Linked DNA regions of Tribolium castaneum. The protein of the gene in region 2 interacts with the protein of the main gene of each other region in a pairwise test. Links are inferred from orthologs where the notes say so. Each region holds a gene or a part of one and is shown on either strand. Other genes may lie near its edges. The genes, in order: Pax, p130CAS and breast cancer anti-estrogen resistance protein 3 homolog.

Evidence for each region.
Region 1: the proteins of p130CAS (region 2) and Pax interact in a two-hybrid assay, tested with the Drosophila melanogaster proteins (2 studies listed by BioGRID). The link is inferred for Tribolium castaneum from reciprocal best matches to the Drosophila melanogaster genes p130CAS and Pax.
Region 3: the proteins of p130CAS (region 2) and breast cancer anti-estrogen resistance protein 3 homolog interact in a two-hybrid assay, tested with the Drosophila melanogaster proteins (2 studies listed by BioGRID). The link is inferred for Tribolium castaneum from reciprocal best matches to the Drosophila melanogaster genes p130CAS and CG9098.

What each region holds. Positions count from the first base shown.
Region 1 is NC_087395.1:17,976,696-17,981,109, forward strand, and holds the start of Pax (paxillin), read left to right. Parts: upstream 1-1,570; 5' UTR 1,571-1,572; coding exon 1,573-1,705; intron 1,706-2,096; exon of another isoform or gene 2,097-2,329; coding exon of another isoform or gene 2,330-2,363; intron 2,364-2,421; coding exon 2,422-2,567; intron 2,568-4,414.
Region 2 is NC_087394.1:14,545,300-14,549,656, forward strand, and holds the start of p130CAS (breast cancer anti-estrogen resistance protein 1), read left to right. Parts: upstream 1-1,427; 5' UTR 1,428-1,583; coding exon 1,584-1,619; intron 1,620-4,357.
Region 3 is NC_087398.1:218,282-221,933, forward strand, and holds part of breast cancer anti-estrogen resistance protein 3 homolog, read left to right. Parts: intron 1-122; exon of another isoform or gene 123-199; coding exon 200-260; exon of another isoform or gene 261-269; coding exon of another isoform or gene 270-347; intron 348-395; coding exon of another isoform or gene 396-476; intron 477-529; coding exon of another isoform or gene 530-667; intron 668-717; coding exon of another isoform or gene 718-798; intron 799-850; coding exon of another isoform or gene 851-994; intron 995-1,052; coding exon of another isoform or gene 1,053-1,252; exon of another isoform or gene 1,253-1,266; intron 1,267-2,000; coding exon of another isoform or gene 2,001-2,049; exon of another isoform or gene 2,050-2,112; intron 2,113-3,086; coding exon 3,087-3,581; intron 3,582-3,632; coding exon 3,633-3,652. Other genes in the region: aquaporin AQPAe.a, read right to left, coding at 270-347, 396-476, 530-667, 718-798, 851-994, 1,053-1,252, 2,001-2,049.

The DNA.
Region 1 (4,414 bases), on a different chromosome or scaffold from region 2:
CGACTATTAACCTTGGTCATTTTAAATTTTCAAATAATAAACACTTAAACACAAGGGAATCGGATAACCAGACATAATAAACTGTGGACATAATTGGTCGAATTTCTTTTGAAAGAAAAATTTTAGTAAACTATATTGATAATAATGTATTTAAAATGACTGTAAGTTGAACAGAACTGTTAAAAGCATCACATTACAGCCCTGATGTTTCAATTGTCTCGTTTTGGCAAAATCTTCGTGAATTAATAATAATAATAATTTCCTGAGCGGCTCTTTGATCTGAACAGTCGAAAAAAAAATAAAATTACATCTGCGATTTTTCGGCTTGTTCTGACGATTTTCCTAGAGATTTGAGAATTTTTCCGTAAAAGACACACTTGTTTGTCTCGAAAAACGTTCTGAAGCGAGCGAAATCGGCGAAAATAGCAAGTTTGAAGCGTATTTTTTCTGATTAGAGAAACAACATTTGTGTGGATATTGAGTTTGTTAATGAAAAATGCTTTAAAAAACTAAAAAATAGGCCAATTGGGATGATCATTTTCGTATATTCTTTAGGAAAATACGTCGAAATTGACGAAGGTATAATTCTTGTCTTGTTTGGTAAAATTCTTTTTGAAAAACATTGCAAATCGCTCGGAAATAACGAATTCTAGATCTAATTATGCGATTGTTTTTTGGGTGAAAAACTCGTTAGAAATTTATAAAAAATAGAGAATAATAATATTTGCAGCTATATTTTGCGACTTCTGACTTGAATTTCTTGGTAAAAAGGATTCTAATCAATTTAGCAAAACAGGGGAAAGCATCGATGGTTGGACTAATTTGTGAATTTTTCGCCGAAAAACGGTTCGAGTTAACAGAAACAGATATAATTTTGCGATTTCAGCTTTGTTTTTACAAAACCTAAAATTGAGGAATTATTGAGTTTCTGTCAAAAGCCATCTAGAAACGATATTTTCTGGTACGTGACAATTTTTTGTGTGAAGTCTTAGAGTCGAGTTATCAAGAACTTTTAAAAACAAGCCAAACCACCGAGCAACTTGAGTCATTTCCACAGTATTGTTAGGAAAATGATTTCATGTTGTCGCAATTTTGATTAAATTTGTATTCAAGAGAGTGCTAAATAAAGGAATGAAATGTGTGGCATTTATTTTTTGATTTCACCTGTTTTTATTTCCAATTATGTTTTCCAAGTACGCAATGTCTGTAAAAGTCCACGGTCATAACCGGCGCGTAGGTTTAACAATCGTAGGTTTTTTCAATAAAAAGTTGTAACTCGCACGTATTTGAATCCTTGGACGATTTTCTAAATCAGTCGATCGTGGAGACACACGCATCGTCTAAATTTACCTCAGTCTTAGCGTTGACGTTTCCGACAAATCGTTTCCGGAAAATTTCGCGAAAATGCCACTTACGTAAGGTGGAAAAGGTGGAGTTTTCGTGATTCCGCAAGTGGTCTATTTATAACCGGACACGTCCAGGTTTGCCAAAACTCGCGGGTGCAACAGTTAGTCATAGTCGGGATCTTCCCAAAACTATTGTTTTTTTCTCGCTTCGTGTTGGAAAAACGAAATGAGTGCTAAATTGCGCACGCGGACGCCCTCACCCAAAACGGTCACTTTCGACCCCTCGCCTCCGACGACACTGGAGCGGAAGCGGAAAGTGATGAGGTTTAAATCGCACGCCGAATGGGAGCAATATTTAAGTGAGTACGCGGTCACGTGGCCACTGGAAACGAACAAAATCAAAAATGCGCCAAGACTTTTTATTTTATTGTCCTGGGTGGCAATCATTCGGGCGCACTGACGTATCAATTCATTTGTTAATTGAGGGGCAAGCCCACGATTACGTCTTGAACAAAAATAAGTCGGCGCATAAATGGTCCTCAAGGCCGAACTAATTTTACTAAAACAAATTTGTTTATGTAATCGACATAACTCGAATAACAACAAATGTGATCGATTATCGATGGGTCACGCGAAAAGAATTTCAAAATATGTAAATAAAATCGCCCGATTGCAGTATTGCAAATTTCCGCCTATCGTTTGTTTGCCTTACAGTGATAAGGAATTGCATGTTTGTCCATTATTGATACAACTGCTCGATTCAGTTAATTGCAGCCCAAGGATGTGTCTGCATTGCTGTTCTTACTAATCAGTGCCACCACCGTGTTTTATTAATAACCGTATTCCGTGTGATAACACCGTTTTCCCCAAATTGTGACGCATCCTTTATCAGCTTGGCGGTTTTAATTTCGAGTAATTGACTCATTTTGTCCAATTTCTTTCAATCACCAACCGATTTATTAATTATACTAAGCTCGGACGAAATGGACGTGACTCGAAATCCGTACGCCGAATTCGGTACAAAATCAATTTTGAGTTGTTTTTTTAAATTTGTTGATTTTTCGTGTTATTGCAGATGCTCTCTTGGCCGATCTTCAAAACACCGTGTCTCCGGGTGGCGGGAGCAGCTCCGGTTACGGGTCCTTGAATGCGTCCAGGGATGGACGACAATCGGGGGCTGAAAGTCCAGCCTCAAGAGTCGATTCGTATGGTGTTAGATCGGTAAGTTGTTTTTTTGGTTTTTGGCAAAAGCGTTGTTTTGGCGGAACCGCGTAAACGATTAGTTGCGCCATCTGGGAAATGCTGGTGCAAGTTATTTCGAGAATAACACAGTCACAAATTACGATGTTCTAGATGGAGATGTATTCAAAAACGTCCGGTCGTTTGAAAACTGTTTGCTTGTTTTGTAATTTGTGTGTGGCGACACCTTTTGATGTTGTATTTATAGATGCGGCAGAAAAAATATTCTTTTCGGAAATTTTGGTGTAATTATTGTGTAATCTCTGGCAAAATTTTGCGAAATGTTTGCGGTTCTGACTGAAAACCGAGCGAAAACAATTGGAAACAGCACAAGTAAACTAATTAACAGCGTAATCTTGCAATAGATTTTGAGATTTTAGTTCAAAATCGTACTGAAGACACGGAAAAAGAAAAAATAACACCATCTTCAACAAAATTTATTGAGGATTTTGGCTTATTTTCGAGTGGAACAAGCTAAATAACGTCAGTTTCAGTTCATATAAAATATAATTAAAGAAAATTAATGAATCTTTTCTATTTTCCTAATTAAGGAAATCGAGTGTTTTTTTAATTTTAACGGTAATTTTTTGAAAAAGCTTTGTTTGTTACATCAAAAACGTGTTAAAAATTACTAATGTTTTAGCATGTTTTTAACGAAATGTTGAAGTAATCGCTGAAAACAAACAAAAAAAAACTTCATTTTCTATCAAAATCGACATTTTTTTAGCTTAATAATTTACTGTATTGAAAATCGAATTTAGTTCTTAACGGTTGCGAAATAAAAAAGCCAATTCTAATAAGTGTTTGGACTACGAAGGACTATAACTTATGGGACGAAACGAGATACAAAATCGTAGGATTTTCTGAATCAAAAAAAATAAATAAATAATAATAAAAAATAGTAGGGCAGAGTAAAATAAGGGCGCTTCGAGAGTTATACCGTCTCGGTGTCAAATCGTTTTAAATTAATTGAAATTCAACCAGTTCACTAATTACTTGGAAAAAAAATGCAGAAATGTTGAGCTTTGTATTCTCAACAGACTGAGAAAAACTGAGGACTAAAATTATCATGAGAAACATGAGACAAAAATATTTAATAGTTATTTATTTAACGAGTGTGAGTGTAAATCGGACGTTTTTCGAAACCGTATTCACAACGTTTTGATAAATAGGCGACGGTGCCTAAAAAATTATCGCCTAGAATTATCAGTTTCCGTTCCACCTTATATTTTTGCAAACGAAGCGAATACGGTTGAAAATACAAAAAAGTTGAAGGAACAAGGTTCTAAAGAATTAAATTTTTCATATTTCTATCGTCAACGGTTTAGGTGTAAATAACTTTCCAATACCTGAAAACTTCTAAAATGAAGCAAATATATCGCTTGAGTGTCTTTGAACGACTTTGGGGCCAAAATGGTTGAAGACATGGACATGGTTTCGCGGACTTTTCTAAAAAAAATTTAATTGTCTACAACTTTTTTCTGAACATTTTTTTTAAATATAGTTTAAGAGATAATTTTTGCACTATATTCTTATATTCCTATATTCAGAGTTTATATTCTCACCTGAGGATGACCACTTTGTGGTTGAAACGCGTAGTGTTTTTAATAAAGGTTTGGTGTGTCGGGTTTTTTAAACTTTGTTTATTTTAGTTTCCACGCCAAGGAAATCCAACAAGAAGTAATACATTTATTAATAAATTATTTAAAAAAAAATGTTTATTTCTAATGTGTTCTTGTCCATTTTGTTTAGTTTCAGAAAGTTTAAGTGGAAGAAAAGGTACCGATTTGACGTTTTTTTGGACTATCACTAAAAAAAAATACTATTTT
Region 2 (4,357 bases):
GGTATACACGTTGTGGTAATAAAAGATGTTCAGTTAAGCACAAAAATGAAAGTAGTCAGATTTTTTTCAAGCAACTTAATTTTGATATATTCTTTAATTTGTTTTCTTTAATAACGGTATCGATTTTTGCTCTTTTGTTCCTATGATGTGGAATATAATTTATTGTCAAATTTGCAAGTTTTTTTTTATTGTTTTGTACATCATAAGACATTAATTGTTAATTTTTTTCAACAGGTATTTGTTTAATGTTCCAAGAGCTGTCGTTTCTACTAACTAAAGACAAAAAAATATTATCTGAAGCACCAATATAACTTAAAAATTTTAATTTGAAGAAAAAAGGCTCAATCAATTTTTGGTCATAGGAACTTTTAATTCAGTTTGATGTCCTTTATCAGCACCCGAGAGATTGTCCGGTACTTTTAAATAATTCTGTATTATTGAACTTATTTTTATCAAAATTCTTCCAATTAATTACGTTTCTGATAGCAAAAAGCGTTAAAACACGCAAAAAAAGGAAGAATAATGTAGACACACATATAGACACGTACGAGTATTATTGAGGCAGCCTTATTTTAAAATAATAAAAAATTATTAATAATAACCATTTTTTTTAACCAAACTATAGTAGTTTCATAGAAATTTTTTTATAAATTTTATGACATAATTAAGTATCTGATAGAAAAAAAGTAACAAACAATAAAATAAATTGACCTGATTAAGCGATTTTGCGGCTTTGTTTTTTCTAGTTTTAGACTTCACTTTGGACTTAATTGCGTTTTTTTTGTTCCTGATCTCGTTCCGAACTTTAGTTCAAAAATGTGTTTAAGAAAAAGACGAAATAATACTGTTTTTACTACTTTCTGCACATTTTTGAGAAACTTTGGAGACATAATTAAGCTGACTAAAAAAAACTGTATAAATAACACCCCAAAAAGGCAAACATTGCTCCACTAGCAATCTTATTTTATTAGTTAAACCGTTTACTGACATAATTCAATGATTTTTCGGTTTATTTTGCGATCACAATTCTTGGTACAAACCGAAAATCGTTTTGTAGGTCAGGGGTGTTCCCAAATGGCGCCCTTCTCATATTGCAGATTGCGTAACCGCCCCCTTTGACATGCCGCCAGGGTGCGGTGCAGCCCCCACATCCGCCAAGCTTAAAAATCGCATCACCCAACGGAAAATTAATAATTAATACCATCCATTCATTGTATGGGCGAGGGAAAAAAATATAAACGATACAATTAAAAATGCAATAAACTGTGGTCACGGATGATGCTGCTGCCACTTCTCTCCGCTGGACCATACGGAACAGAAGTCTCCAAATAGCCAGTTATGGTTGTGTAGAAAAACTCGTCTACAGTATGATCAATAAATGTTTGTGTGCATGCTCAGTTCCACGATCTGCAGCCGAGTCCACGAATGATTCACGAAACACTATTTCCAGTTTAGTTGGTTTGTAGCTGCATGGGAGTGGAGAAGGTGATGGTATTCTTCAAGTTGGGCCTTACTTAACTTTACCTTTATTTTGGTTTTTCTCTATTTCTCTGTGTTTTTTTAAGTTTCGTGTTATTTCCAAAATGCCTCAACCAACGGATAACTTGCCTCCTTCACAGGTATGTAGCTATGCAATTTATTACAATTTTTCCGATCATACTTCACTGTCAAGTTTATAATCATATGTTTGTATAATATTAATGTTATTATTAAATAAAGTTTATAAATATAGCTTTGCCTTGACTGTATTACTGTTTTAAAAAGTACCAACGGCGTTTTGCTGCTACCATTTTACTGATGTGTATTACATTTTGTAAGTGCTTGATTAGATAAGTTGTGATAAAAGTGTTGAGATGGACAAAATGTTTCCGTATTTATACTTCCAATAAGCATTTGCTCTGTGCTCTAAATCGTCTTCTAACACAATGAAATTTATATGCAAATATTGATTTTTTAATTACTTCAACTATTGTGGCATGTAGGCATGAATTTGCATTGATTATTCAAAATCACATATTACATAGCTGACTGCACCGGGAGTTTGCAATCGATTTCTGCCGTCCTGTGTTGCATGAACCTACACTACAATCAAAATTGCAAATATACAGGATGCTCAAAAACTGGCGCACCAACTCAGTGGTACGTTATTGAGAAGCAAGTGCAGATTACGGGAAAAATGTTGAAAAAATTCCTAAAGTTATATTTTAAAAAATCTGGAGCTACAAACTTATTGTGTTAACTTCTTTAGTATTCATTATTTTTTTATATTTTTATGTTTCATACCAGGTAATCGATGAATAATTATTTTAAAATTTACGATCAGATTTTAGGAGTTTTTTTAATTTAAAAAAATTAAAATTCATCCAAAAAATCACAATGTGTAGATGTGCCAACACTGGGAATTATTTCCTAGGAAACCGTTTCAAAAATAATTTATTTTTATTGTTGCTCAAATTCTATTACGATCATGACTGTTAGACAACGTTGCCACATATCATTTACCTAAAATTAGTTATTTATCAATAACTTTAATACAAAGAATTTTTTTACTATTTTTACCATTATATGTAACCACTTCTCTACTACACACCATTGAGTTGGTGCGCCAGTTTTTGAGCACGCTGTATATAACATCATGCCATAGCTAAAATATTTTACAAAATCGGCAAAATAATATAATTCATAGTGATTTTTCAGTTTTTAATAATAATAATAATTTATTAATTTTCAACAGGTAAATCACCCAAGTACAGAAAATGAAATTAAGTTAAATAAACGTTTTGTATTTAAACTAAAACTAGAAACAATACAAAGGTAAGAAGACAAGTAAAAAAAAAACAAATAATTAATTTTGAATTTTGCCTACCATTTAATTAACCTAATGCCCGAAAAACCCGAAATATTAGATTTTGTATGAAATTAAAAGAAAGAAAATTAATATCACAACTACTGCTAATTTTATTAAAATTCCTGCACATTATGTATGTACAATGACAATTTTAAAAGAGCATTAGTATTACAATGGATACAATAAAAAGTTATGTAGTACCGTAAGTTAATTTTAGGAACCAGATAAATTATCTTATTCACAAAACTAATGCAATATATCTTATTGTCCAGTATTGTTTAGTTAGTGCTTTATACAAAAAAATGTCTTAATAAACGTCTGATAAATACAAAAATTTTCCCCTTTTAGAATGTAATTTAATGACTTTCGGTTTATTTTTGCCAAAAGTTTACATTGCGACATTTCTGACCGAAAATTGTGCTAAAATGCTTAAAAAATACAAAATATGAAAAACACTCTACAGGGTGATTCAAAAATACCGTACAATCTCTCACGTGCTGATAAAGGACATCAAACTGAATTAAAAGTTCCGATGACAAAAAATGGACTTTTTTTTCTTCATTGTTAAATTTTTAACTGGTAAATTCGACAATAAATATATTCAACATCCTAGGAAACAAGAGAGCAACAATCGATACCGTTGCTAAGGAAAACAAATTAGAAAATATTGCTTGAAAAAAATCTGACTTCACTTTTGTATTTGACTGAACGTCTTTTTGACTTAATTCAGTGATTTTTTGGTTTATTTTTGTTCAAATTCTTTAAAATAATAATGTTTCTAGATAAAGGACAACGTATTAAGACATTCAACATTAAAAAACTTAAACTTTTGCGGCTAATAAGTTGTTAAAAATTTCAAAATCGTCCATTTTTTAATTCTGAGTGTTTCTTTTGAAAGTTTTTAGCTAAATTTATTATGTTCTCTTATACTTGTTATCATTTTTTTCGTAAGCTAAATACATAGTTTTGGACTATCAAAGTATGTAAACTAAGTTTCATCATTGTTTGTCCACAACCCTTATAGTGACTTATAGCGGCGGTCAGCTCGATTTGCGTGTGCGTCATCAATTTCATTTTTTCATTACCAACACAAAGCTATAAAAAATTATCAAAAACAATGCAAATTTAAACAGCTAAGGGCTATCTAAGGGTGGTATCCTTGAACATTAATTTAGATGTGCACTTCGACAACACCGTCAAGTGTCACGAATTTGTCAAACTGACATTGACAGTAAAATATAGACGTCGTCGCATGGTTGTCGAAAGTGTTATCGGTGTTAATCGCAAGTATTTTCTGTTCGTTTATTATGTTTTGTGATTTGCGTTTCGTTAGGTTTTTGATTCTGCGTTTATTAGTTCTTGTTTTGTGAATCTGTATTTTTTGTAACAAATCATAATTTAAACACTTCGTAAGCTCAAAAGATATTTGATAGTTTGTCACCGCTATGACCCTGCTATGTAAACGTAGTGACAGAAATGTCAGATGACGCACACGCAAATGGAGCTGAG
Region 3 (3,652 bases), on a different chromosome or scaffold from region 2:
AATAGTTTCCTCTTCTAGTAGTGCAATTATCTACTCAGACGTCAAGAAACAACCGTAATGAACCTTTGTGTCTGATGTCTGAAGTGATTCATTATCGAGGAAGGAGGATTTCAAACACCACATTAGTTTTAATCACCCATTAAGCTTATAGTATCATCCAATAATTATTACATTTCTAATGCAATTATTTTTGTTCCAGATCGAATTTAAGCTCCGTATATGAGCCAGTCCAAAGTAAAAGCTTAAACAATCTCATTATGGTAAGTATTTTATTGTCTCCGTAAAAATATCATTTTGTAAAATTGACCCGAGAGACTTGCTCCTAATACCGGCCCAATCCAATAAACCTTGAAAAAAATTAAGTTTGAATTTTATTTCCAACTGACATGAAATACCCAATGACTGTGCCACTTGGAATTCCAAACAGTTGGCCCAAAGCTCCGAGCTGGGTTCATACTAGCCCCAGTATAAGGCCCCTGAAATATAACAATTTGAAATCCAACTCGAAACGAGATTATTTCAGTAATACAGCTGTGATATTTAAGAGAAAGACGATGATTCCGATCCTCAAAGAAACCGAATCTCCTTTAGCATAATTCCTCGGATCCCACGCGGCGCAGATTGCCACTGCCATAATAAACGTTGCTATAAATTCCACAAGACATGCCTTGAATTTTCGTCACATTATTTTATTTGAATCATCATCGAAATACATACTTGCAAAAGCGATATTTCATCGTGCGGCAACGTGACGCAATGACCGTAAGAAACATTCAAGTGCTTATCTGGCGTTACCGCCTTGAATCAATACCTTGAGAGCACCACAATTAATAAAAAAGTGATTTATTACCTTAAGAAGTGCATAGCCGGTCAAAGAACCCGCAATTTGGGAACCTACATAAATCGGGACCGAAGTTAAGGAAATTTCGCCCATAATGAAAGCACAAAGTGTGACAGCGGGGTTTACATGCGCCCCAGAAATGTGGCTGAACATCTAAATTTAATTTTTTACTTTTGAAAGTGTGATAGACATTTTGCGTCCAATACCTTACCTGAATGGCTGTCGTAACAGACAGACCACTGGCAAGGCTCGTTTGCAAAACTGTAATGTTTTCCCCAAACATCCCCTTTGTGCAGCCCATACACGAGAGGAAAACTAAGACAGCTGTGCCAATGAATTCGGCACATACTATTACCATTCCGTTGAGCAAAGCCGGAGTTTGTCCCTTTTTGTTGTATGTCACATCGCAATCTGAAATGGCAGTTCTTGTGATTGTAATTACGGGCGTTATCTGTTGTTGAATAGTTCTACTATTGCTAAACTAACTGGAGGAAAATTATTGTTTTCATTTGAGGTAACGACGCGATTTATAATTTACCTCGTGAGTGCACAAAGTTAAATATCTATAGCCGTAATAAATAGGGATTGTTTTGTGGGAAAAGCTGCAGATTAGAAGCACTCAATTGTTCCTACAGCAAAGAAATGTCATTTCAGGCAGTCTTATTGTACTTTTTAGCTATGAAACGACCGTTACTAAAAGCTGCTCATGTGAGACAAGTTATTTCCTCGTTTAGCCAAGAAAGCAACCTTTTAGATTGTTTTGCGACTTGCCTCAAGCGTTAAAAAATGATACAAAAATACAAGCAATGTGATAATTTGATAAATATTTATGCGATTTTGCATTAACATGTACACAAACATTAGCTTTGTTGGCCTGCAGTACAAATACAAAAAGGAAATCATTAACAATACTTTTAGTATGTTATTGCTGCAGATGCTACATTAGTATGCGCGAATGCAAACTTTAAAGTAAAATTTTTATCTTTTCTATAATAAGACGTCATAACCAACTATTTCTGTACAGACTCTTTACTTAACAGGCGCATAATATAATCATTGAAACAGCGCAATAAAAAGCTTAAAATTAACTTCATAATTTTATTCTTTTGACACTTAAGTCTTAAAAAATTATATTCAGCAGAAAAAATTATGCACCCACCTTTAGGAATATCAACACTGAATCGATGATCATTTCCCACATCTCTCATAATTAATTCTTTTTAGTCGTAAACAAGTTCCACAACTAATAGCAATAAATTACATTAAGCCGTTTACACTAATTGCATTACTTGTATTGATATCACTATCAGGATTAAAAACAAAGGTTAATTCCTTTAAACGCTTTAACGTGAAACATTTTGTTCCGTTCTAATTTTAATCAATCAAAGATGTGAAGGTAATCCTGAAACTGAACCGCGTCAAAATACAAATGATTTATTAGGCATATTGTTTGAGAAAAACGCAAACATTGTATGCATTTTGGGAGAAAATTCCAACAGACCGGATTATAATAACAAATCATTGCATAGTTTGTTCGTTGTTCCCTATTGTGTTAGAAAACAAATAATAAAAATAATGGAGATTTATGTCGAACGATAGTATTAGTAGCATCGTGTGTGCTGGAAACAAGAACGTGGCAAAATTTACTTTTAAAATAAGTCTGTAATATTACAGCTGCTCTTTTGAATTATTAAAGCGACTAAATTCATTCATTTTATGAGTAGCGATTTAACCCCTCTTGTGTCTTCGGGAGTAAACAAAATGACTATTTAATGAAAAGCCAACCGCTAAGTCAGAATTTAAAAGAGCTAAAACAATGCGAAAGTGCCCTTAATACTATCGTTCGTTCAATGTAGGGTTTTAAGTACCTTTTCTGTTCGTTTGAAAATTTCTAGACACACTTGAGTGGTTTATAATGGTAAAGCTTCCACCAGTAAGGTCGACGTTCTAATTTTAAGTTAAACCGCATTTGGAAAAAAATTATCTATACTTTTTGTAAATTTCCCAACAAAAATTTTGTAACGTCTCGATTTGCTGTCGAAATAATTAAAACAGTGCAGTAACAGCTATAAACACAACTCAGCCATTGTTTGCGTTTTCTCGCCGTATTTGTTCTTATGAAAATTCGTCGTCAATCTCCTTCCCCGCGTTAAACTTCTAATCCACTTTTAACGCCCGAGCGAACTCTATTGAATATCCCTTCGCTTCCGGATTTATTGAATTTCAACTAAAATATTCTTTTCAGGAGCCTACGGCGGACCCCTCGATGAACTCTCTCGAGCTGAAAAAAGCTCTCGAATGGGAGCTTTCTCTGGACAGTCGCGACTTGCGTTCACACGCTTGGTATCACGGAGCCATTCCTCGATCCCGTGCCGAGGACATTGTCCGAGAGGAAGGCGGCTTTTTAGTCCGGGACTGCACTTCCCAACCCGGCAATTACGTCCTAACTTGCCGAACGAAAACCCAACCCTTGCACTTTGTAATCAACAAAATCATCCTCCAGCCGGACACGGTGTACGAACACGTCCAATTCCAGTTTGAAGAGGATGCTTTCGACACCGTCCCCGACCTTATCACCTTTTATGTGGGCTCGGGAAAGCCCATCACGGCAGCGTCTGGGGCCAGAATACAGTTTCCGAAAAATCGGATGTACCCCTTGTCGTTCTACGCTGCCAAATACCCCACACCTCTGCCCCAGAGCAGGCTGAGCTCCCCGGCAACGACCCCAATCGGGGGAATGGTAAAAAACACGCGCAACTGTGGCTTTATCTAATTTTGATTTTTCCATTAGGGTATGGGGTACCGCCACAG